Ovis aries: one gene and its partners. The protein of the gene in region 6 interacts with the protein of the main gene of each other region in a pairwise test. Links are inferred from orthologs where the notes say so. Each region holds a gene or a part of one and is shown on either strand. Other genes may lie near its edges. The genes, in order: ATXN1, FNDC3B, TBX6, BANP, ZMYND19 and TOX4.

Evidence for each region.
Region 1: the proteins of TOX4 (region 6) and ATXN1 interact in binary tests that used the Homo sapiens proteins (3 or more experiments, as listed by UniProt). The link is inferred for Ovis aries from reciprocal best matches to the Homo sapiens genes TOX4 and ATXN1.
Region 2: the proteins of TOX4 (region 6) and FNDC3B interact in binary tests that used the Homo sapiens proteins (3 or more experiments, as listed by UniProt). The two-hybrid records come from large-scale screens. The link is inferred for Ovis aries from reciprocal best matches to the Homo sapiens genes TOX4 and FNDC3B.
Region 3: the proteins of TOX4 (region 6) and TBX6 interact in binary tests that used the Homo sapiens proteins (3 or more experiments, as listed by UniProt). The link is inferred for Ovis aries from reciprocal best matches to the Homo sapiens genes TOX4 and TBX6.
Region 4: the proteins of TOX4 (region 6) and BANP interact in binary tests that used the Homo sapiens proteins (3 or more experiments, as listed by UniProt). The two-hybrid records come from large-scale screens. The link is inferred for Ovis aries from reciprocal best matches to the Homo sapiens genes TOX4 and BANP.
Region 5: the proteins of TOX4 (region 6) and ZMYND19 interact in binary tests that used the Homo sapiens proteins (3 or more experiments, as listed by UniProt). The two-hybrid records come from large-scale screens. The link is inferred for Ovis aries from reciprocal best matches to the Homo sapiens genes TOX4 and ZMYND19.

What each region holds. Positions count from the first base shown.
Region 1 is NC_056073.1:39,589,978-39,594,062, forward strand, and holds the start of ATXN1 (ataxin-1), read left to right. Parts: upstream 1-1,285; 5' UTR 1,286-1,566; intron 1,567-3,756; 5' UTR 3,757-3,866; intron 3,867-4,085. UniProt on the Homo sapiens protein: Chromatin-binding factor that repress Notch signaling in the absence of Notch intracellular domain by acting as a CBF1 corepressor. Binds to the HEY promoter and might assist, along with NCOR2, RBPJ-mediated repression. Binds RNA in vitro.
Region 2 is NC_056054.1:215,866,093-215,869,592, reverse strand, and holds part of FNDC3B (fibronectin type III domain-containing protein 3B), read left to right. Parts: intron 1-770; coding exon 771-943; intron 944-3,421; coding exon 3,422-3,500. UniProt on the Homo sapiens protein: May be a positive regulator of adipogenesis.
Region 3 is NC_056077.1:26,714,251-26,717,059, forward strand, and holds the end of TBX6 (T-box transcription factor TBX6), read left to right. Parts: intron 1-734; coding exon 735-808; intron 809-890; coding exon 891-1,074; intron 1,075-1,176; coding exon 1,177-1,381; 3' UTR 1,382-2,309; downstream 2,310-2,809. Other genes in the region: PPP4C (serine/threonine-protein phosphatase 4 catalytic subunit), read right to left, coding at 2,509-2,638, 2,730-2,809. UniProt on the Homo sapiens protein: T-box transcription factor that plays an essential role in the determination of the fate of axial stem cells: neural vs mesodermal. Acts in part by down-regulating, a specific enhancer (N1) of SOX2, to inhibit neural development.
Region 4 is NC_056067.1:12,929,279-12,933,354, forward strand, and holds the start of BANP (protein BANP), read left to right. Parts: upstream 1-1,276; 5' UTR 1,277-1,944; intron 1,945-4,076. UniProt on the Homo sapiens protein: Controls V(D)J recombination during T-cell development by repressing T-cell receptor (TCR) beta enhancer function. Binds to scaffold/matrix attachment region beta (S/MARbeta), an ATC-rich DNA sequence located upstream of the TCR beta enhancer.
Region 5 is NC_056056.1:398,259-402,275, forward strand, and holds the start of ZMYND19 (zinc finger MYND domain-containing protein 19), read left to right. Parts: upstream 1-1,217; 5' UTR 1,218-1,359; coding exon 1,360-1,410; intron 1,411-1,946; exon of another isoform or gene 1,947-2,059; coding exon of another isoform or gene 2,060-2,065; intron 2,066-2,662; coding exon 2,663-2,722; intron 2,723-3,503; coding exon 3,504-3,610; intron 3,611-4,017. UniProt on the Homo sapiens protein: May be involved as a regulatory molecule in GPR24/MCH-R1 signaling.
Region 6 is NC_056060.1:24,030,969-24,034,468, reverse strand, and holds part of TOX4 (TOX high mobility group box family member 4), read left to right. Parts: intron 1-705; coding exon 706-948; intron 949-1,821; coding exon 1,822-2,082; intron 2,083-2,425; coding exon 2,426-2,656; intron 2,657-3,500. UniProt on the Homo sapiens protein: Transcription factor that modulates cell fate reprogramming from the somatic state to the pluripotent and neuronal fate. In liver, controls the expression of hormone-regulated gluconeogenic genes such as G6PC1 and PCK1.

The DNA of each region.
Region 1 (4,085 bases), on a different chromosome or scaffold from region 6:
CCCTCCTCCAGCAGATCTTCCCAACCCAGGGAGGGTTGAACCAGCGTCTCTGGTGTCTTCTGCATTGTAGGTGGGGTTTTTTTTTTTTTTTAATCACTAGCGCCATCTATGTGGAGAGACTCTATTTCCAAATAAAGCCATACTCCCTGCACTGGGGACTAGATGTATCTCTCCGGGAACAAAATTCAACCCACAACAATGGGAACTCTCACGGAGAACTGACTAGTGAGGGGTGCCACATAAACGGAGCGATAAAAGGAAAACAGTGACATGTGAAATTGTAAGTGGAGGTCAGACGGGTTTGGGAGTAACAGGAAATATTAGATAAGAGACGCTCTCATTTAGGAGACTCTTTCCATCTGTGCTTACGGCCCTGATTTTTTTCTTTTCTGTCAGAGTTAAAAAAAAATTGTATAAATAAAAAGAATAAGAAAATAGCACTTCGCTGACTCACACATTGGGCAGAACCACAAACTCCTGTGATAATCAGGAAAGACTTCGCAGAAATGTTGGTGCTTGGGTTGGATCCTGGAGGATGGGAATAAAAATTGCCCTGCAAAGAAGGGCTTCCCAGGTAGGGAGAAAGTATATGGAAAAGCACAATGTTATTTAGGCGATCCACCCTTTATGCCTTAAGTAGGGTGAAGAGTCTCTGTAAGGAAGGCCCAGATTGTCTGCTTAATCTCTGTTACTAAGAAATGGTATTAAAGAAAGGAAGGGGCAGAGATGTTTCTGGTTTTGATAAATGCACAAATCAGCTCACAGTAACCTGAAAGAACACTAGGAGCATCTCTAAGGGGGAGTTCGTTCTTGGACACATTTGCCAAAGCACAAATATGGAAACCCCGCCCTCAGCCAGATCCGAAGAAATCAAAAGGCTGATGTGGTATAAATTCCTCTGCCCTGATTGCATAAAGGAGATGTGCCAACATTTTTTTCTCTGATATATTCCTTTCTGCACAGAGAGCTCAACTGGATTCTTAAAAACCTGATCGTGAACTGAGATAGGCAATTCTGAATCACCACCAGGATCTAGGAAAATTAACTCCTCACTGATCTTCCTAGATAAGCTCCCAATCTCGCTGCCTCTCAGATCAGCACTGGGATCTGGCGAGGTTTCTGCCACAGAGCAACTCCCTTTTTTGGCATAAGAATGTACAGGATGCCAGTAAAGTTCACGCTGGGTCATCTAAGTCTCTTTAAATGCGCGATGATTCATTGCTGGGGGTGGGGGCGAGAGGAGTGAGGGGGAAGGAAGTGCTGAGCTGAGAGGCGGAGCGAAGTCATTATGAAATTGACTGCAGAAAAGCTGGCGCTGGGAGTGCTGGGGTCACATGGTCTTACTATTGGTATTTCAGCTACAAGTTTTAAACCAGAGATAGGGGGAGGGGTTGGGAAGCATCACCTTGAAGCTTGATCGGCTTTCAGAGGAGATGCCTCCGTTGATGGCTGGCATGTTGATTAGAATTACAATGGGGGTATTAATTTCTCTTTTTATCTGACAGAAAAAGAAAAGTTCTCCCATGACAGTATGGCTAGCAGAACAAGAATCTGGCTGTAAGTGGTGTAAGTGAACCGTTTGTCTTTTTCTGCTTGATTTACTGGCATTCTAGCTGACAGGGTCCTCCATTCTGTGCGTTCATTTTTGTACTTAAAAAGGGATTGTTTGTAATTTACAGTTGAAGTCTGAGTGCTATTAGTCTGCTCGGTCAGCATGGATAGCAGGAGCAATCGCTCCATGTCAGTGCCAGGGCGCAAAGCAAATTTGGATCTTCAGTGGTCAGTCTTGAGAGCTCCCCAAAGTTACCCAGCAGTTAAACTCTGGAGCGGCCCTGAAGCACAGGGCTTCTGCAAATAACAAACTGCCTGACAAACCCTGCTGAAATCCTGACACGGACAGTTTCCTCTAGTTGTTTATGTCAAAAGGCAAAGTTTGCCAATGCATTTTTCTCTGGCTCTTCCTCTTTGGGGTAAACTTGGTAAATTCCTCATAAAATAATTGTCTTAAACTCTGACCTGCATTTGGATCAGCTTTTCCTAGCCAAAACTGACTCAAGAAAAACAAAGGCACGGTGAGAGCTTATAGCTATGTATTTTAATGTCTTGAAGTCAGAATAACAATTTGATGGCTATCATTGTCCCTGATCTTAGTTTGAAGGCACCACAAGCTTTACCTTCACAACCCATCAACTGCCTCTATCTTAAGTGTAAACAATGGTGGCTTTGGGCTTTGGTTTTAATTTGGAAAATGTATTTCTTTTGAGGAAACAAAATGCCAAGTTGTTAATGACGTGTTTTTAATAGATTTCCAAATGCTCCTGGCCAATACTGAGCAAAGTTCAACTCACTCATTCTGAGCCTTAAAATGTTGTTCAATTTCATGTAAGAAGAGCTATGTTCTATAGATGCATAAAACCACAAATTCTGTTATTTTATAAGTCACTGCAGTACATTCAATGTTGATAATAGTTATATTGATGAAAATGTATCTAGGTCTTGCTTGCAAAATAAATGGTAATGGTTAAAATTCATCTCATTTCCTTTTGACATATGCTATTGTAGTAAATATATTAGAAATTGTTTAAAAAAAAACCCACAGATTTCCTTTTGGCTTTGATTTGTTTTCTAGGGAAGCAGTAACTGTATACTTTTCATTATCCACACCTAAATGGCCTAAAGCCATTTCTTATTAAAAGATGTCACCCTCAACCATTCAGCTGTCACTCCAGAAAGCGTGTGCTTTCTAAAACACAGAACGAGTTTTCCATCAGCTTCCCAGGGTGGCAAAGTATCTGAAGCCTGTCCCTACCCCACCCTGAGAGACTGACTCTTAACAAATTTTTAGTCTAACATAAAGCCTAACAAATTTTAAGCCTAGCATATCTCAGGATTATGCCTTTACCAACAGCTTACTCTCAGAGATATTTTAATAAGGGGTAAAGTGCATGTTGGGCTTCCCAGGTGACTCAGTTGGTAAAGAATCTGCCCACAATGCAGGAGACCTGGGTTCAATCCCTGGGTCAGGAAGATCCTCTGGAGAAGGGAATGGCAACCCACTCCAGTATTCTTGCCTGGAGAATTCCATGGACAGGGGAGCCTGGCAGGCTACAGTTCGTGGGGTCCCAAAGAGTCAGACATGACTGAGTGACTAACACTCACTTTTCAAGGGCAGTGTTATACACTGCAAGGGGGGAATCTCAGGAAGGTAGAAAAGTAACCAAATCACCTACTACACTACTGCAATAAGATCTCCAATTATGGTTCTTAGAACTAATTCCTGCACCTCCCCAGCCCCACTGACTTTACTAGTGCTGTGCATTAGAAGCATAATGGACACATGTCATTGTAAATCTTATAGTAGGCACACTAAAATGTAAAAAGAAACAGGTAAGTTAATTTTAACAATATTTTTATGTAACCTAATATATGTAGAATATTTTCATTTTAACATTTGATCAATATAAACATTGAGATACTATATGAACTTATGTGTATATATGTGCATGTATGTACATGTTCTAAGTCTTTAAAATCCAAGGTATATTTTACAATTACAGCCCATCTCAAGTGCTTAACAATCATATTGGACAGTACAGACCTATGCTAAAGCACTTGTTTTTGTTTTCACTGTAGACAGAATCTTATTTAAAATTGCCTAATATGTGTACTATTAAGTCATAAACTGTCAGCAGATGTTTAAACACAATGATTTTAATTTCACTCTTGACCATTGCTGATGTCACTTTCATTACCCAGAAGCCTGTGCTGCTACAGTCTGGTGGAGGGTCAAGAAAGCTGATTCAGAAGCATGTCTTTTAAGAGTCTCCATGCCAAGGACAGAGCCCAGTGACTTCAGTTTGGGTGTGGTGAGTTGACCTCAGAGTCTATTGTGTGAGTGGTTTTCACTTTTGTTTTTAGTTTATTTTACTTTTCTGGTCTCTCAGCTTTATTTGGAAGTGCAGTCTAAGGAAAGCATATTGGTTTTGTAAGCACGCTATGGTTTGCTCAGATTTTTAAATGATATATATAGGCTACCACTCTCCTTATAATACCATGGTTAAAGAACTGTCAGTGTTTCCACCAGC
Region 2 (3,500 bases), on a different chromosome or scaffold from region 6:
TCCACATTCTGTTTAATGTACGTGGGCTTGGGTTTGTGAACGCCCAGCCCTATGGCCCATCCTCCTGTTCCTGATGGTGCCGCAGGTGCTATTCACCCCCTGCCCTCAGAGGGTACTGTTCTAGAAAATGTTTCAGAGCAGGAATTCCCCAACTTTATTCATAAAATAAAAGTTGTGCTTAATAAAGAGGTTAAACCAAGAAACTCTTCATTAGGTAGCATATGTATCCTCCTCACCTTTACCACCCTGTCGTGTGTGGGTCCTGGTGTTTTACAGTCTCAGCTCAAGCTATGTTAGCATTTCCTGTCATATTAATGATTCACAGCATGTAAAATTGCAAATATAAACTTGCAGAACTCTGTTAGACTATTGTTCCCCATCACTTAATATCTAAATTAAGATGTTATGCCAGTTTGGGGTTCTCTAACTTGATTTAATATGTCCTTTGGTTTCAGGTTAAAAAGATTTTTCTCCCCTCTAATTCTTGTCTTTACCTTGCATTAGAATGTAAAGGAATTGCCTAAAAGTTCTATGGTTTTGGAATCATTTTGTTCATATCATTAAATGTGCTTGCTTTGAAAAGTATGGATAACATCATTAAGAAACTTTCTTTTGTATCTCTTTCTCTTTTTGAAGTGGGGGTTCTTTTGTAAATATCAAGGACAGGCTACCTACATGATATTTTGCAAACATCATAGAATGTAAGGTGTGATAGGGCCAACCAGAAATAATAAAAATGTTCTAAGATGAACAGCGTTCTCCATTCGCAGACGTTCCTGCCTCTGAAAGTGGCTGTGAGGTCTCGGAGTACAGCGTGGAGATGACAGAACCGGAGGATGTAGCTTCGGAGGTGTACCATGGGCCGGAGCTTGAGTGCACCGTGGGTAACCTGCTTCCAGGAACTGTGTATCGCTTCAGGGTGCGGGCTCTGAATGACGGAGGGGTGAGTACTTATCACGACAAAAGCATGAGGTCCTGGCACTTCCATTTCCACCCTCCTAAAATTCCTCATCTGTATCTGTCCAACGATGACAGCCATTAAAGAACTGTACGTAAAACCTTATTTCTGAAGAAACCCTGCTTTGGTTTCACGTAGACCCAGCATTGGAAATTTTGATTCTTTTGTCCTCCTGTTAAGACAGAGCTCAAAGTTAATAAGGACTTTGCCGTTTAGATGCCTTTTGGTGGTTTCTTAAAATAATTTCCTAGATAAATCACTTATGAGAAGTTAGAACTACATAATATTCCTTTACCATGTTGTCTAAATTACTCAGCAGTGTCTTAGGTGAGTTTTTAAAACTCCACTGGGGTATAGGCTAGGGAGACCAGCTTATTTGTTTTTTTTTTTTTAATTTCATAGAACTCTCTGGTCCTTTCTAGTACTCCATTTGAAGTTGTTGAGGTGGGCTATTCAAGATTGAAAGGGTCTGACTATATGCACGAAGGTGACTGGATTTTTTAATTGCAGAGTGATGTGGATTCATAGTGAGAATAAAGTGACCCAGAAACTATAGGGCTTTTTGGTGTGTCACAGATGGGCAGAAATGTAAAAGAAGGTGGAAGGGTGTGGGTAGGGCAAACTGCTGCTAACGCCCTACAGAGAGCCAATGAAGTGTATAAATGCATTCTGTACAAATAAATAGATGTAATTAATCAATGAGATTTTTGTAAGAAAGAAAGCCAAACGGACAGTGACAGGAAGTTGGCAATGACTTTTCTAGTTCTTGGTGTTCATTCATGCCTTTCAGAAGTGAAGTGTTTTTGTCTTTAGTCCATTTTGAGTTAGCCAGGCCTTAGTTTGAAAACATTTGGTCTGAAGTAGGATCACAAACCTTGAACAAGAGCTGGATCTCTTCTAATTCACCATTAGGAAAGAATTTCAGATACAGGTATTTACATTTAAAAAAAAAAACACACACACAAAACTAGACAATTAAAATGTATTGGTGAGAGATAAGAAAGCCTCTGTACCCTGACTTTTTATAAGTAAAAAGAGGATGGATGGTGATAATCACCCATACTGCAGATGAAACTCTGGTGCTTTTCCCCTTCAACTTTTGAAGAAGATATTCGCCATGATAAAGACACATGTGCAGCTGGACTGATTGGGGTTTACTTTCTCCTTTTACTAATTTGTCATTTAAAGAAACTATCTCAGCCTTATTTTTAAATCCTGTTATATTGAATTTGAACCATATATTTGACTTGTGGTCCTCTTCTGTGGTCTACTCCAGACAGTTTCTCCCCCACCTTCAGTATATTTGCAAGTTATATTAGAAAATGTCAAAGACTTTTTTTCTTTATGTTTTTTCCTCCATTTTGAAAAACACAGTCATATTCCTCATTCAGTTCAGTTCAGTTTAGTTGCTCAGTTGTGTCCAACTCTTTGTGACCCCATGAAACACAGCATACCAGGCCTCCCTGTTCATCAGCAACTCCCAGAGTCTACTCAGACTCAGGTCCATCAAGTCGATGATGCCATCCAGCCATCTCATCCTCTGTCATCCCCTTCTCCTCCTCCCCCCAATCCCTCCCAGCATCAGGGTCTTTTCCAATGAGGCAACTCTTCGCATGAGGTGGCCAAAGTATTGGAGTTTCAGCGTTAGCATCAGTCCTTCCAATGAACACCCAGGACTAGTCTCCTTTACGATGGACTGGTTGGACTTCCTCATTAGCCTGAAAATTACTTTACTCTTTGCCCCAGTTCTTTTAAGTACCACATATTCCACCTTAACGTGGGGGTTCTGGTCCTCTCGATGCATTTTACGTCTATAGAGATGATTGTCTCTGAGCAGTGTGACCGCTGATGGTGGAGGAGGAGAGAATGCAGTATAAAGCTGCAGATAGTTGAGATGGTGGGCCTGCCAAGCAAACATTAATAGGACTGTTGGTTTCAAATTGAAAAATACCAGTGACTAGAAGAAATACTCAAAATTTGATAACCAACAATTCCACACAGATTTTTAGGCCTTAAGCTACAGTATGCATCTGACTTGGTTTAGTTTGAAATGCCCTGAGAAATTAAAGCACAATGCTGTGATGTAGCAAAAGTCAGCATTTTTTATTTCTTAGGTCACAGCAAAAATGTATAATAAACCAACTTTCTAATCCTTTAGAATTAAAAAAATTTTATATATATATATATATATATATAAAATAGACATTTACCACTCAAGTAATGTATGTGGGAAGAAAATCTACTCATGTAATTGAAAGTGAACACCATTAAGTAATGCTTTTAATCAGTTGTATTGATGATACCATTAGCCTAGCCCTTGTTTGGTTATAAGCTTGTGTTATATGCACACACACACAAACACACACACTCCTTGTTTGGTATAAGCTTGTGTTGTGTGCACACACACACGCACGCACATCCCTAACACACCCCTACAAGCACATGTGTGTTTCTCTCTTGCAGTATGGTCCCTATTCTGATGTCTCAGAAATTACCACTGCTGCAGGGCCTCCTGGACAGTGCAAAGCACCTTGTATCTCTT
Region 3 (2,809 bases), on a different chromosome or scaffold from region 6:
AAAGAAAGCAAAAAGATCAGGACTGGAGAGATGAGTCCTGGAAAGGCCTCACTAAGAGGACATTTGAGAAGACTCGGAGGAAGTATGGAAGGGAACCATGTGAGTATCTGGGAACATGCCAGGGGCCTGGGGTAGGAGCATGCTACAGTATGGCTGGTGTGGAGTGAGAGGTAATAGGAGCCAGATTATGGTGGGCTGTAAAGTTTTGGTTAGGACATTAGCTTCTTCTAACTAACCCTAACCCCTCAGAGCTGGCCCTTGCCCTCAAGACACTTAGAATCAGGCAGAAGAGAGAGATATTAACTTAAGGATCACCCTGATGAATATGATAAATGTAACAGTATCGCTCTTGACAAGTTATCAGGGTAGCCCAGTGGAAAGAACCTGCCTGCCAATGCAGATGTGAATTTGATCCCTGGATCAGGAAGATCCCCTGGAGAAGGACATGGCAACACACTTCAGTATTCTTGCCCGGGCAATCCCATGGACAGAGGAGCCTGGCGGGCTACAATCCATGGGGTCACAAGAGAGTCCAATACAACTTAGCAACTAAGCAACTACTGTTTTCCAGTCATTTAATTCTCTGTCCTTCTATTCCTTTTTCTGTAAAATGGGTATAATAATGGCACCTACCTGATAGGGTCCCTGGGTGAAGTGCCTGGCACCTGGTAAGTGCCATTATTACCATCATCATCACCATTATCATCATCACCATCATCATCACTGTCCCCCAGGGAGCGAGACGCCCGTGTGAAGAGGAAACTGCGGGGCCCAGAGCCGGCAGCCACAGCAGGCTATGGGAGTGGAGGTGAGTGTCATTCCAGAGGTGATGGGACCAGGCCTGAGATGCCGATCCTCCTTAACCCGCTCTGGCCCTTCTGTCTCCCCAGATGCTCCAGGTGGTCCCTGTGATTCCACACTGGGTGGGGATGTTCGGGAGTCAGATCCAGAGCAGGCCCCAGTGCCTGGGGAAGCTGCCCCTGCCCCAGCTCCTCCCTGCAGTGGCCCCAGTGCTGAGGCCTACCTGCTGCACCCTGCCGCTTTCCACGGGGCCCCCAGTCACCTTCCAATCAGGTGAGTGGGTCAGCGGCACAGGGCTGGGCTGTTCCAGGCTGAGACGAGGGGGTGGTCCCCTCTCCCCTGTCCTGATACCTCTCCGCTCTTCGGGAATCCCAGCTTCCCGGAGGCTCCAGACTCTGGGCGCCCAGCCCCCTACTCAGCCGCCTTCCTGGAGCTGCAGCCCGGGCCAGCAGGCTCAGGATACCCAGCAGCAGCACCCTCAGCATCCTTTGCCTCGCACTTCCTCCAAGGGGGCCCCTTCCCACTGCCCTACCCTGGGCCTGGAGCTTACCTGGATGTGGGCTCCAAACCAATGTACTGAGCCTTTGCTAAGCCCCCTGCCTCCCTCCCCATCTTCCAGTTCCCTTCCCCCAGGCCTGTTGCCCCCTCACTTCCACTACCCCCTCCCCCACACCAAATGGCTGCCTTGGGCCTCCCCCACCCCACTTCACACTTTGATTTCACTCCCACCCCCTCTGGCTTCAAAGCTCTGGCTAAGCCGCTGGGAGTCCAGCTGGGGCCAGCTTCCCCTTCCAGGCTCTCACCTCGGTGTGAATGGAGGGGCTCTGCCTGGCCAAATGGGGCCTGGGACCAGCACTCCCACCCCCAGCCTCACCCTTGGGCTCTACAAGTCCTACCCCCTCCCCAGGGCGAGCCACACGGGTCTGTTCTCAGGTCCAGAGTATTTTTGTTAATAAAACTCGAAAGACGTCAGTGCTCTGGAAACACTATGGTCTTTGGCCCTGAGTGGGGCTGGTTGAGCAGAGGTTTTGTGAGGAGACGCAGGCCCCAATCAAGACTTGTCATTTCCAGCTGCTTGACCTTGTGAATCTAACTAAGTCAATGCTCAGGGTCTGCTTCCTCTTCAGGAAGATGGAGGAATCTGTCTTGACATGACATTCTGAGAATTAAACAGGGCTGCCCGAGAACCCAGCCCTCTCCCTGGCACTCAGGAAACCCCCAGCAGTGATCACTGTCACTGGATGGGGACCAGGAGGCTCTGGGCAAGCTAACCGGCCTGAGCCTCACCTTGCTGGCAGGATTAGGGTTCTGGGGCATCAAAGTCCTGATATAAATCCCAGGTCCAAGGCCGGTACCACTGCTCATACCCAGTCAACACCAACCGAAAGACCATTTTTCTTCTTTTATTAGAATTTTTTTCTTTTTTTTTTGTTTTCTCAAAATTTTTATCTAAAAACAAACCAAAAAAAAAAAAAGAAGGAAAAAAAGAAAACCAAAATTATTGGAAACTTCATGGTTCAAGTGGGGAGACGGGAGGAGGAGCATGGAACTGAGGCTCCCAGCCTCTCCAGAAAAGTCCTCACCCTCGAAGTGCCCTCTGTTGCAGGGAGAGCAAAGCCGGGGACAGCCCCCCCCATGCCCAGCCTCCGTCTGAAGAGGGCAGAGTCACAGTGGTCCGGGGGCCGGAGGGGGGCAGGGCCGAAGGGGTCACAGGAAGTAGTCGGCCACAGGCTTTTTGGAGGGGATGCCCCGTGTCTCTTGGGGAGCGGCCTCGAAGATGATGAAATCTTTCTGGAGATGCTCATCCAGCTCCAAGATGGCTGCCACATTCCCACAGCTGGAAGTCGGGGGGAAGGCGGGGGCAGCAGTGTTAACAGCGTGGCTCAGCCTGGATCCCTACCTCAACCTCCCCAGCCCAGGCAGCTCACCGGTAGCAGTAGTTGGGTGCCGACCACACAGTGAGTACAGTCTCGTTGAAGTGCCACTTGTAACCTTCCATCACCAGTTG
Region 4 (4,076 bases), on a different chromosome or scaffold from region 6:
AGGGTCGAGTTTCAGTCCTCCCTTCTCTGGAGGCCAGGGAAAAGTCCCATAATACCTGGGCATCTGTAGGTGGCAGGAGATGTCTGTAAGGCCACCCCTTTCGTCCCCCCCTCTCCTGCCTCCTCCCCCTTCTTCTTTCAACCTGGCTTCCTTTCCTCCCTTGAAATCTTTGATGTTAGTACCTGGATCTGAAGTTCTGTGTCTCTATAGGAGGTTTTCTGAGAGACTGTATTCTTGTATTTAAGGGCTTCCCTGGTGGTGCAGAGGTTAAAGCGTCTACCGGCAATGTGGGAGAGCTGGGTTTCATCCCTGGGTTGGGAAGATCCCCTGGAGAAGGAAATGGCAACCCACTCCAGTATTCTTGCCTGGAGAATCCCATGGACGGAGGAGCTTGGTGGGCTACAGTCCACGGGTTGCAAAGAGTCGGACACGACTGAGGGACTTCACTGTCACTTAATAAGAATTTTCCAGTTTGTTGTGATCCACACAGTCAAAAGTTTTAGCATAGACAATGAAGGAGAAGTAGATATTCTTCTGGAATTCTCTTGCTTTTTGTATGATCCAACAGATGTTGGCAATTTGATCTCTGGTTCCTCTCTGCCTTTTCTAAGGATACATAACAAACATCACAATACATAACATCAATTACACATAAAATATATATCACATATAATTAATATATATTTTTCTAGGAGCGTGTCTTTGAACCTGTGACGAACCTGGGAACCCCTGAGCTCGCCTGCTACTCAGGGGAACCCCGCTGCAGCAGTGGCCAGAGCCGCGCCCGGTGCAGCGGCCTTGCACACCTCAACTACAAGTCCCAGCATTCCATGCGCTGGCACGGGTCGGGGGGGATGGGACCACAAGTACCAGCAGGCTTCGCGCAGACGCAGGAACCACGAGTCCCAGAATGCACTGCTCGAGGCTTGCGCAGGGCCCTCCGGGACATGTAGTCGTCTATGGCGCTAATTCCTATTCATTAGGCCTCAAAGAAAATGCAAATTCCCCGAACGGTCCACCAACGCGACTTTTCAGGGGCTAGTGAGAAGCCTGAACGCGTGACAGAGAAGTAAGAAGTTTGGAGGCCAATCTGTGGCGAGGATGCAGGACCCGTGCGCATGCCCGGCGGTCGTCGGCGCCAGCCCAGCGCGGGCGGGAGATTCCGAGCAGCAGGCCCCGCCCTCGCGCCCTGCCCCGTCCCCGTTCCTCCTCCCGGTGAGCCTGCGCAGATGGTGCAGGGCGGAGGGCCGCGGGGAGGGACTCGCGGCGCCTGCGCAGAGCGGCGGCTTCTCTCGCGAGGACGGACGCCATTATCGCATCTCCCCGACAAACACCACGAGAATTCCGCAGCCCACACGGTAATTGCAGCTCCCGCAGCCGGTCGCGTCTCCACCTCCCCCTTCCCGCGGGGCGAGAGCGAGAGCGAGATCTCCCCTCCTCCCTCCTCCCTGCGCCCTCCTCCGGCCGCGGCGCCCGCGCCGCCGCCCCCGCCCCCCCGACACGGCCACCGGCCCCAACGGCCCGCCGTCCTGTGCGCCCCCGTCTCAGCCCTGTCAAGCCGCCTGCCCGCCGCGCCTCAGCGCACCCGCACCTGGCTCCGGCCGCCCATCCCCCGGCCCGCCGCCCCCGCCGTCGCGGTGCGCGGGGTCCGTCGCGGAGCGGGCCTCCCTTCCGGGACCAGGCCCGCAAGAGCAGCGTCCGGCCGCGGGCGGGCGGGGTGGGGTCGCGCTGCTGTTGCTGCGGTGTAGCCGCTCCGGGTCGTGAGGCCACGGGCTGGCAGGCGGCTAGGCGGCTCCCCCCCGGGAGGCCGGCGGCCGCGGACGCGGGGACAGCGGCTGCGGGCGGAAGTGCGGGAGGCGGCTGTTCTCGCTGGGCGGGCGGCGGGCCCGAGTGAGGAGCGGCCCTGGGGACCCCTGCCCGGTGCTCGGAATCTTCGAGCCGCCGGTAACGTTAACTCCGTGTGTTTAAAGCTCCTTTGCCCCCCCTTGTCTGGCGATTAAAATAAGCGTTTCCTCCTGGGACGTCGGGTCCTGTCACGGCTCCAATTTTGAGAAAGCTGATGCCGTGTGTGGGTCCAGTGCTGCGGCCAGTCCCGCCGGCGTTTCCAGCGCTTCTCATCGCGGCGGTCGGGTCAGGGGGACAGGGAGGTGGCTGCGGCCCACGGAGGGAAGGGGCTTCCCTGGGTCACACGGCCAGGTTTGAATGCGATCTGTCCCAAGTCCATGTTCTGAAAAAACTGCACACGTTTGATACTTTAATAAAGTAATGCCGCAAAGTGTCAATGGAAGACTATAAAACAACAGCCCCCACCCCACCTCCCAGTTCCACTCCTCCAAGACTTTATATTTTTGCTGTTTCATGAGGAAGTTCTTCGTTGCTATAAATAATAAGCTGGCACTTTACTGGTTTTATACATTCCTGACTTGCTGTTAACAGATAGGATGACTGACTTTTTCATATCGCGTCTCACCTCTATCCCCTGATCACTATGTTCAGTTCAGATTGTTTATAACTAAGCAGATATTCACAGCTAGGTAGTCTATTTCCCCTGTTATACGGGTTTTTGCTTTTTTCTGTTGTTTGTGATGGCCTTTCTTTTTCTTTGCACTTTTTGTTCCTGTTGACTCTTTACCTTTTATTATTTTTTTAACTATTCCCCGAGGCATGTGGGATCTTAGTTCTCTGGGGATTGAACCTGTTCCCCCTGCAATGGAAGCATGGAGTCTCAACCACTGGACTGCTAGGGAAGTCCCACTTTACCTTGTTTTAGATTCTGAAGGATGGCACTAAATCTCTCTTACCATCCCCCTCTCCCCAGCCTTGTGGTGGTCTTTTTCTAATCTGGATTGTTTACTCCTTAGACCAGCACCAGTATCATCTTGACATTTTTTTTTTTACTATATACAACTGAGTTTGTTCAGGTCTCGTGTTTTAATCTTGACTTCCTTTATTTCAGTGAGAACCTACTGCCAAGTAGCCTTATTCCTTTTGGATAACTCTTCAGGATCCTCTTTGGTATTAAGACATTTCCGGAATTCCCGAAAACTGTGTAGAGTCCTACTCTGACTGCTTTCTGACTCTGGGGACTTGTCCTTCAGCTCTGGAATCTGAAAGTCTTGTGTCATTTGAGAATGTCTTCTGCTCTGCTTTTGGTGGTGGTTTAGTCGCTAAGTTGTCCGACTCTTGTGGCCCCACGGACTGTAGCCTACCAGGCTTCTCTGTCCGTGGGACTCTCCAGGCAAGAATACTGGAGTGGGTTGCTATTTCCTTCTCCAGCTCTGCTTTTACTCTTCTGTTTTAGGAGTTTCTGTTAGTTTGATGATGGACATCTTGGATTAACCCTCTGAATCTTCTGTCATTATCTTCTTCCTGTGTCATCTTATTCTTGTTTCTGGGATAGAAACATTTATCCTCCAGTCCTACTTAAAAATTTTTCATTTCCACAATCAAAGTTTAATTTCTAAGGATTTATAATGTTCTTTTTTCATAATAATGTATTGTTTGATGAATGCATTTTTCTCCTTGACTTTGGGGATACTAGTAAGGGTTTTTTTGGTTCCCTTTTGTTCTCTGATTTCTTGTGTTCTGTTGTGTCACTGTTCTTTTCCTCTTTTTAAAAAGACGGGCTTCTTGCTTTGTGTGGCAAGTACTCTTCAAATACTGGAATTATTGTTGTCTAAGGCCAGAGGAAGCAGGCAGAGAACTCATGAGTTTGGGGGGCTGATTTTTTGGTCACACTCACATGGTGGCTTATGGAATTTTTGTTCCTCAACCAGGGATTGAACCTGGGCCCATAGCAGTGAAAGCATGGTGTCCTGACCTCTGGACCACCAGGGAATTCCCCCGTGGGACTGCTTTTGAAAATGTGCAGGTTTCCTATTGGGTTTTGGGGAACTTTTTGTTGTGCTGGGACCTCAAATGCCAGAAGGCAGATTTTCTCTGGGCCTCTCTGCTTAAGGAAGATGCCTTTGACTGGGGGCTGCTCCACTTGGTCTAGGGACGGCCCTTGTACAGCTCTTCGTACAGGGACCTGACTTCCATGTGCAGGCACAACCCTCACCCTCTCCTGGTTTGGA
Region 5 (4,017 bases), on a different chromosome or scaffold from region 6:
GCTCCCCAGACCCCACACCCTTCCCAACCTCCACCTCTCTGGCCATGTGCCCTGTTGCTCTGATGCGTTCATTGGCTCACAGAGACCGCCTCCGCTTTTCAAAAACGCCCAGCTGGGGCCAGATTAGGGCCTTGGCACTGGGCTCTCCCCGCTGCTGGGGATGCTGTTCCCCTGGAGCCCGCAGAGCTCACCCGCTCTCTCCCCCCCAGTTTGCTCAGGTTACTTGGCAGTGAGATCTACCCCGCCTCCACTTTCCCGGGGCCTCCAACTCCCTGATGCTGGTCTACTCGTTTCCCCACAGCGTTGATCACTTTCTAACAAGGCGAGTAACTCGCTGGTCATGGGCCTTTTCTGCCTCCCTCGCTAGAACAGGAGCAGGGGTTTGCTTGGTGCACCGGTGTAGAGCGGTTTCATTGGGGGTTGGGAGCGAGAGCCATTTGGAGTGGTTGCCAGGAGACAGGTATACCCCCAACCCCCGACCCCGAATCGTCAGGTCTGGGAGTTCCTGTTCGGGAAGGATTTGGAGCAGGCTTTTCAGCGCCCCTTCTCGAAGCCCAGGGAAGGATCGTGTCGCACAGGCATGGGCTATGGGATCCTGATCCCGGCCCATGCGCGGAGGCGGCCAGGGAGAAGGGCGGGCGCAGTTCCCGGTCAGCCAACAGCGCTCGCTGGGCTCCCACGTTCCGAGGGCACTGGACCCAGCCACGGAGTCATACGGGCCCCGGGACTCCGGATCCGCGAATCCACCCCGGCCTCCAGCCCTCTGTCCAGGGACTAGTCACAGGGAGCCGCAGCCAGCCCCGACCTGCAGGGCCCGGACGGCCCAGGGTGCCCAGCCAAACCGCCCGTTGCGCGGGCCGAGGCCGGGCTCGGGGGTCTGCGCTGCGAGCGGGTGGCGCACCCTCCCGCACAAAGCTTCCCGCGAAACTGACGTAGCGCCGGGCGGCCGCGCAGGCTCCGCCCCCGGCCGCGCCCCTCCCCGGCGCGCTCGCCGCGCCCCAACGCGCCTGCGCACTCGCCCTCCCGCCACTGGCTGCGGCGTGGCGGCGCGCGCCGGCCGGCGCCCTGCGCGCCGCGCGATTGGCCAGGCGGCGGCGGGCGGGGGTGTGTCCGCCGCGCGCCCCGCCCCTGGCTCCGCTCGCGGAGGTGCGCGCGGCGGTGGTGGCGGCGGCGGCGGCGGCGGCGCGTGGCAGGTCCGGCGGGCGCCCGGCGGCGGCGGCCCGACCCCGGCCCAGCCTCGTCCCGCCCGCCCGCCCGCCTGGCCCCGTTCCCGGCCCCCACTCGCCCGCCCGGCGCGCCGCGGCCCCGCCCCGGCACCTCCCGAGGGAGCGGCGCCGCCGGCCGAGCGCAGGCCCGGCCATGACCGACTTCAAATTGGGCATCGTGCGGCTCGGCCGGGTGGCCGGAAAGGTGCGCGGCGCGGCCTGGGGCCGGCGTCGGGCGGGAGGCGTGGGGCGCCGGGCCGGGGCCGAGGGCCGGGGCTGGGGTGAGGCTAGGGGCTGAGCGGCGCTGGGGGGCGCGGGCGCGGGCTGGGAGTCGGAGTCGGCGTCGGGGGTGCGAGGCTGGGGGCGCAGGGCCCGGCCAGCGCGGCGGGACGCACGGGCACAGGCCCTAGGTTCGCCGGCGGCCTGGTTCCTGGGGCAGCTTTGGTCCAGTGCCGGCTCCGGCCGTGCGCCGTGGGTCGAGGGCTGCGGCTGTGCCTGCGGCCGCGGGGAGCGCAGGCCCTTCCGGGGCAGCGCGCTCGGTCTCCGGCGGCCCCTGCGGGTCCGTAGTGAGCTTCGCGCAGGGCTCGGGCTGCTCGCGGCGGCCCCGTCGGGCTGAGCCTCAGTTGGCCTCGGCCGAGCGGGGCCTCCCTCTGCTTCTCTCCCTTACCGGGCCCCGCCCTCCGCGTGTTCGAGGCTGGGGCTTCCTGGCACCTGTGGGCATTGAGGCTTGGCTGTTTCCAGGAGCCGGCCGGCCGTGCAGCTGAACCAGCCACGGACCTTACCCTGGATGGGAACCCTGTTCCCATCACCAGCGGCGGAAGCTTCTGGTGGGAGAGAGGAGCAGAGGCAGTCAGATGAAGGTAAAGCCGGTTCAGATAACTAGTAAAAAGCTCTCCAAGCGAAAGTGAGACTGGTCCATTTCGGGGACCGTTTCCTGCCCTCCCGCAAAGGGCAGTCACTTTCTAACTACGGAAGGGTGGGCTCCTTATTAGCCTTGCGATCTCTGCAACTCAGCGGTTGTCTGCAGTAATGCCATCCTTTAAAACTTTTACTTGGAACGTGTTAGACGAAGAGATAGGAGGGACAGTTCCATGAGCACCTGTGTGCCGCCTGCCTGATGGTTGGAACCTTCCAGATATTCTGCTTCAATCCCGGGGCCCTGCCTCTATTCTTGTGACACCGTGGTCTCGGACTGGGCTTATGGACACATTGACACGCACAGCTTAGTGGATGAGCAGTTAGTTCTCAGGCACTTCTCATGGCTAGTCGTGAGCAGACGGCAGGTGGGGCCTGGCGCCACAGCTGTGCGCTGTGCTAAGTGGGGAGAGAGCGGCCTTTGGCACATCTGCCTGCCTTCAGGGTGGATTGGCCGCTCTGAGCCCGTGAGGGCTGCTCCTGCCTACTGTTAGTGCCCTGTGCTGATTCCAAATGTGACGTCTTCAAACGTTAATTTCCAGACCAAGTATACGCTGATAGATGAGCAGGACATCCCGCTGGTGGAGGGCTACTCGTTCGAGGTAAGGATTCTGCTCCTTTGCTGGCCTGCCTACGGTCGTGCCAAGGGGGGTCATGAGGGGTAGGTCTTCACCCCTGTGACGTGAGGCAGGCCCTTGCATGTGAGCTGCTCAAGCAGGCGGGTGAAGCCCTGTCCAGAACCCTGGTCTCCAGGGAACCTGTCTGTCAGTGTGGACCCCCCCCCCCCACCGCCTCCGTGATGCTTGCTGTCTTTCTCACTTCCACGTTGCTTGCAGGCTCTTCCCAAAAAAGAGACAAATGGTGCCATGTCTGTGATTGAGTTCAGTCGGATAAACTGCTGTGCCCAGGGAGACTGTCCAGGACTGCCCCACCTCCTCTCCAGCCTCGGCCTCCTGCAGGGCCCGGTGCCTTTGTTCTTACCTGGCTGTTTGGGCTCCAGTCCTCACCTGCCTGCTCCTCCCTCCACCCTGTAGACCCAGCCCACTCCTGTCTCACCCTTCACCCTTTTATGCTTGCTTGTTCCAGGGCTTACCTTTTTTTTACTGGATTAGGGACTTTTTTTTTTAAGGGTAGGGAGATTTATTTCCCTGTGTCCACGTCCACAGTATTTTGCAAAGAGTGGTTCTTAAGTGTGTCTTGCCTTCATGTAGGCGGGTACTTCTCCGTGCCACGTGTCTGGAAGCCTCCAGAGACCACCAAGGTCCCAGGAACAGGCCTGGCCTTTGTCCCTCTGGCTTGTTTCCTTCGTTTTTCTAAGAGGAATTTGGAATGTTGTGGAGAATTGCAGGCTTTTTAACAGAGCTTTTTCTTGTTTCTTCTCAGGCCCGGATGGAAGTAGACGCAGATGGAAATGGTGCTAAGATATTTGCATATGCCTTTGACAAAAACCGAGGGAGGGGGTCGGGACGGCTCCTTCATGAGCTGCTGTGGTAGGTGTTTCCAAGCTGCTGCTTCCCTTTCTGGGTTAGCACCAGCCTTGCGGTGCGAGGGGCTTGGGCAGCCAGAGGCCCTTCTGCCTCGTCGACAGATGATACCTTGCCCAGGCCTCCCAGTCACGTCTTTGTCATTGCCCCTGCCTGGAAGGATGGCTGCTCTGCGTCCCCTGGCGCTGGCAGGGTGGCCTGAGAGTCTGTAGGCCATGTGCCCTTCCTGCTCCCAGCACTCGGGCCACAGCGCCTCTGGAGGCGGGTGGAGTCTGGCCCCTTCTAGGTCCCTTTGAGCTTGGCGGTGGGGCACGGGGAAGAGCCGTCCTCCCTTCTGTGTGAACGCTGAGGTTCCGGAGTGCTTGGGCCCACTCAGCGGTGTCCCCCAGGCTGTGTGCGAGGTGGCTTGGGGC
Region 6 (3,500 bases):
AGAGAACCAGTTTGCCCTCTGGCTATATCTCTTATGAAGGTTTTTCTCCTCACTGTTATCCTTATTTTGGTTGGCATTGTTGGGTTTTCTGAAAATCCTATACATATAGGAATTTTGTACAAATCATGATTTCTAAAACAGAAAAGAGGTAGGAAACTCTCAAGTGCATATATTTTAGAAGTGCATAAGGTCCCCGTGACAGTTCCTTTTAGGATTTGCTTCAGAGGACCCTAAAACAACAAAGTCTAATTGTCTGGTTGACGGTGAATTTCTGTGGTCTAACAGTTCAGGTGTAGTAATTATGAAATAATTGCTGTATCCTAGAATCTTCAGACAGATTTTAAGCATCATAACAAAATAGGTTATAAAGGTTGAGTCATTATTAATGGTGCTGAAAGAATCATTCATTAGACCAACAGGCAAAATAGTTTAGGACAACCAAGATGATAAAGGCAGAAGAGAGATACGTGAATTGAAAACTGTGATTTTGATATTGGCAGCTTTGTACATGACATACGGCCAAAGATATGAGGAAGAAGAGACTTATTTTTAAAATTAAATAAGTCCTAAGATATTGATAACAAAAATGGGATCCAGGCTGAAAAGAAGTACACTAAGAATGTCTAGTACTCAGGCACGTTCTTCTAGCAGTATGCAACTCCTCCTCTTTCCACTAAATCTTTTTCCTTTTTTCCCTCCCTACAGACGTTCCACACACCAAGCCTGGGTGATGAGGAATTTGAAATCCCACCTATCTCCTTGGATTCTGATCCCTCATTGGCTGTCTCAGATGTGGTTGGCCACTTTGATGACCTGGCAGACCCTTCCTCCTCTCAGGATGGCAGCTTTTCAGCCCAGTATGGGGTCCAGACGTTGGACATGCCTGTGGGCATGACCCATGGCTTAATGGAGCAGGGCGGGGGGCTCCTGAGTGGGGGCTTGACCATGGTAAGGGGCAAGACATTATCAGGCTTACCCAACCTCATGGGCATGGTGTTAGGGGAGATACAAGTGACTCTGTATGCCCTACCTAATTCCCTTGGGTATTATTTTTCATTCTTCTGACTAAAGGCTAATAAAGACCTCACTTCCCTTGAATAAGTGAGATTTATCATTTGAATCAATTTTTTTAAAAAACATGTTTTAAAACTGTAAAATGTCCAGTGTTAACCCTGAAATGAAAATTATTTATTGGATTTTTGAAAGAAAAGTTTTTTCCCTATTACATTATGGCTTTCACATTCTACAGTTCAAATGAGTATGATTGTTGGTATGTTGAGGGGTGTATTCAAAACCTGTCTGAACCATGAGTGGATTAAGAGGATTAATATGTGTTTCAGTGTATTGGGCTTCTAGCACATCTCATCAGCACGTCGACACACACTACACTTGATGCCAGACATCTCTTCTAACATTGGCTTTACTCTGATTTGCCTGTGCATCGAACTTTACCCAGCCATTATTTAAGAGGGTACAGGGATAAAGTTTTTCTTTCCCCTGTGTGTCATCACTATCTCCAGATTACTGAATGATTTACTTGCTCTGAACTTGCCCCAAATTAAGACTTCTTTGGCTGTTTTTAGTTATTTTGGAATAGGCCTTTAAGTACAAATAAGTGACTTAGTACACAACCTGTAATTTCTCTACTTATTAAAAAGCTTAGTATGTTTTATATGTAGATAAATTATTTGATGTTAGTTTAAATGATGATGCATTCTGGGTAAGCAGAGGGTTTATAAACTGTCCTGAATTCAGGTGCAGGGACGGGAAAGGTGGTGTTTTTTATATTTACTGTTTAATTTGTCCTTCTGCTTCTCTCAGGACTTGGATCATTCTATAGGAACTCAGTATAGTGCCAACCCACCGGTTACAATTGATGTACCAATGACAGACATGACATCTGGCTTGATGGGGCATAGCCAGTTGACCACCATTGATCAGTCAGAACTGAGTTCTCAACTTGGTCTGAGCTTAGGGGGTGGCACCATCCTGCCACCTGCCCAGTCACCTGAGGATCGTCTTTCAACCACCCCTTCACCTACAGGTTCACTTCATGAGGATGGTGTTGAGGAATTCCGGAGGGTAAGGCATTCTCTGCCAAAATCAAATCTGCCATGTTACACTGGGATAAAACCCTTGACATATAGATCCAACTAAGTTTTCTCTCCTACTGCCCTGCCATCTTCTCTGCTCTTTTCTGGTTATGGGGTCCTGCCTCTATTACAGTTTATAATGCTTTTTCCAACCCCCATACTTATCAGTCTTCACATACTTTACTAAAGCCTTAATCTTCTTGCCTCTGTTTTTATTTAGCATTTCTGAAAATTCCATTCATATGACTAGTTTACCCCATCTAAAAGTCCTTTTCTGTCAGTTCTCCAGATGTGATACTTCCCTCATAATTCTGTCTCTTTTCTCCTCACAGCAACCTCCCAGCCAGAAGACAGTTGTGGTGGAAGCAGGGAAAAAGCAGAAGGCTCCAAAGAAGAGAAAAAAGAAAGATCCTAATGAACCTCAAAAACCAGTTTCAGCATATGCTTTATTCTTTCGTGACACACAGGCTGCCATCAAGGGACAGAATCCCAATGCCACTTTTGGAGAGGTTTCAAAAATTGTTGCTTCTATGTGGGACAGTCTTGGAGAAGAGCAAAAACAGGTGAGCAAATAACGAGGAACAATGTTATAGAAGTTCTTAAGAATAAGGGGGATAGGGACTTCCATGCTGGTCCAGTGGCTAAGACTCCACGCTTCAGATGCAGTGGACCCAGGTTCAATCCCTGGTCAGGGAACTAGGCCCCACATGCCGCTACTAAGACCTGGTGCAGCAAAATAACTTTTTAAAAATTGGTTAAAAAAAAAAGGCAAGGGGATTAAACCTAAGCTTTAACTTTCTCAGATGTTATTTAATACCAACTCTTTGTTAATGGGATTCAAGATCATCTGTCTTAAAACTTCACTTTCATGCATTGGAGAAGCAAATGGCAACCCACTCCAGTGTTCTTGCCTGGAGAATCCAAGGGACGGAGGAGCCTGGTGGGCTGCTGTCTGTGGGGTTGCACAGAGTCAGACACGACTGAAGTGACTTAGCAGCAGCCTTAAAAATTGCAGCCATACCCTGAATCCAGAATACCTACATAAAAATTATTATAAAAAACACTGAATCCACAGCCAAGTTTGGAGTTTTTCATTGGCCTCATATAAACTTGAGAACTATAGTTAACCTCCCTAAATTTAACCTGAATTAAACAGATGAAAATTGTGTTACTACATAAATATACAATTGAAATGAAAGATGAATGTAATTATCATTACCCTAGCCTCAACAGGTGTTATATCAAAGTAAGTCTGCTACTTAATCATTAAAACAAAAACTGAATATATTACAGGTAATTTATATCAGTTATGTGTTGCTCAGTAAACCACCACAAATTTAGTAGCTTAAGACAGAAGTAATTTATTACTTATTATGATTCTGTAAATTGGTTAGGTGGTTTTCCTGG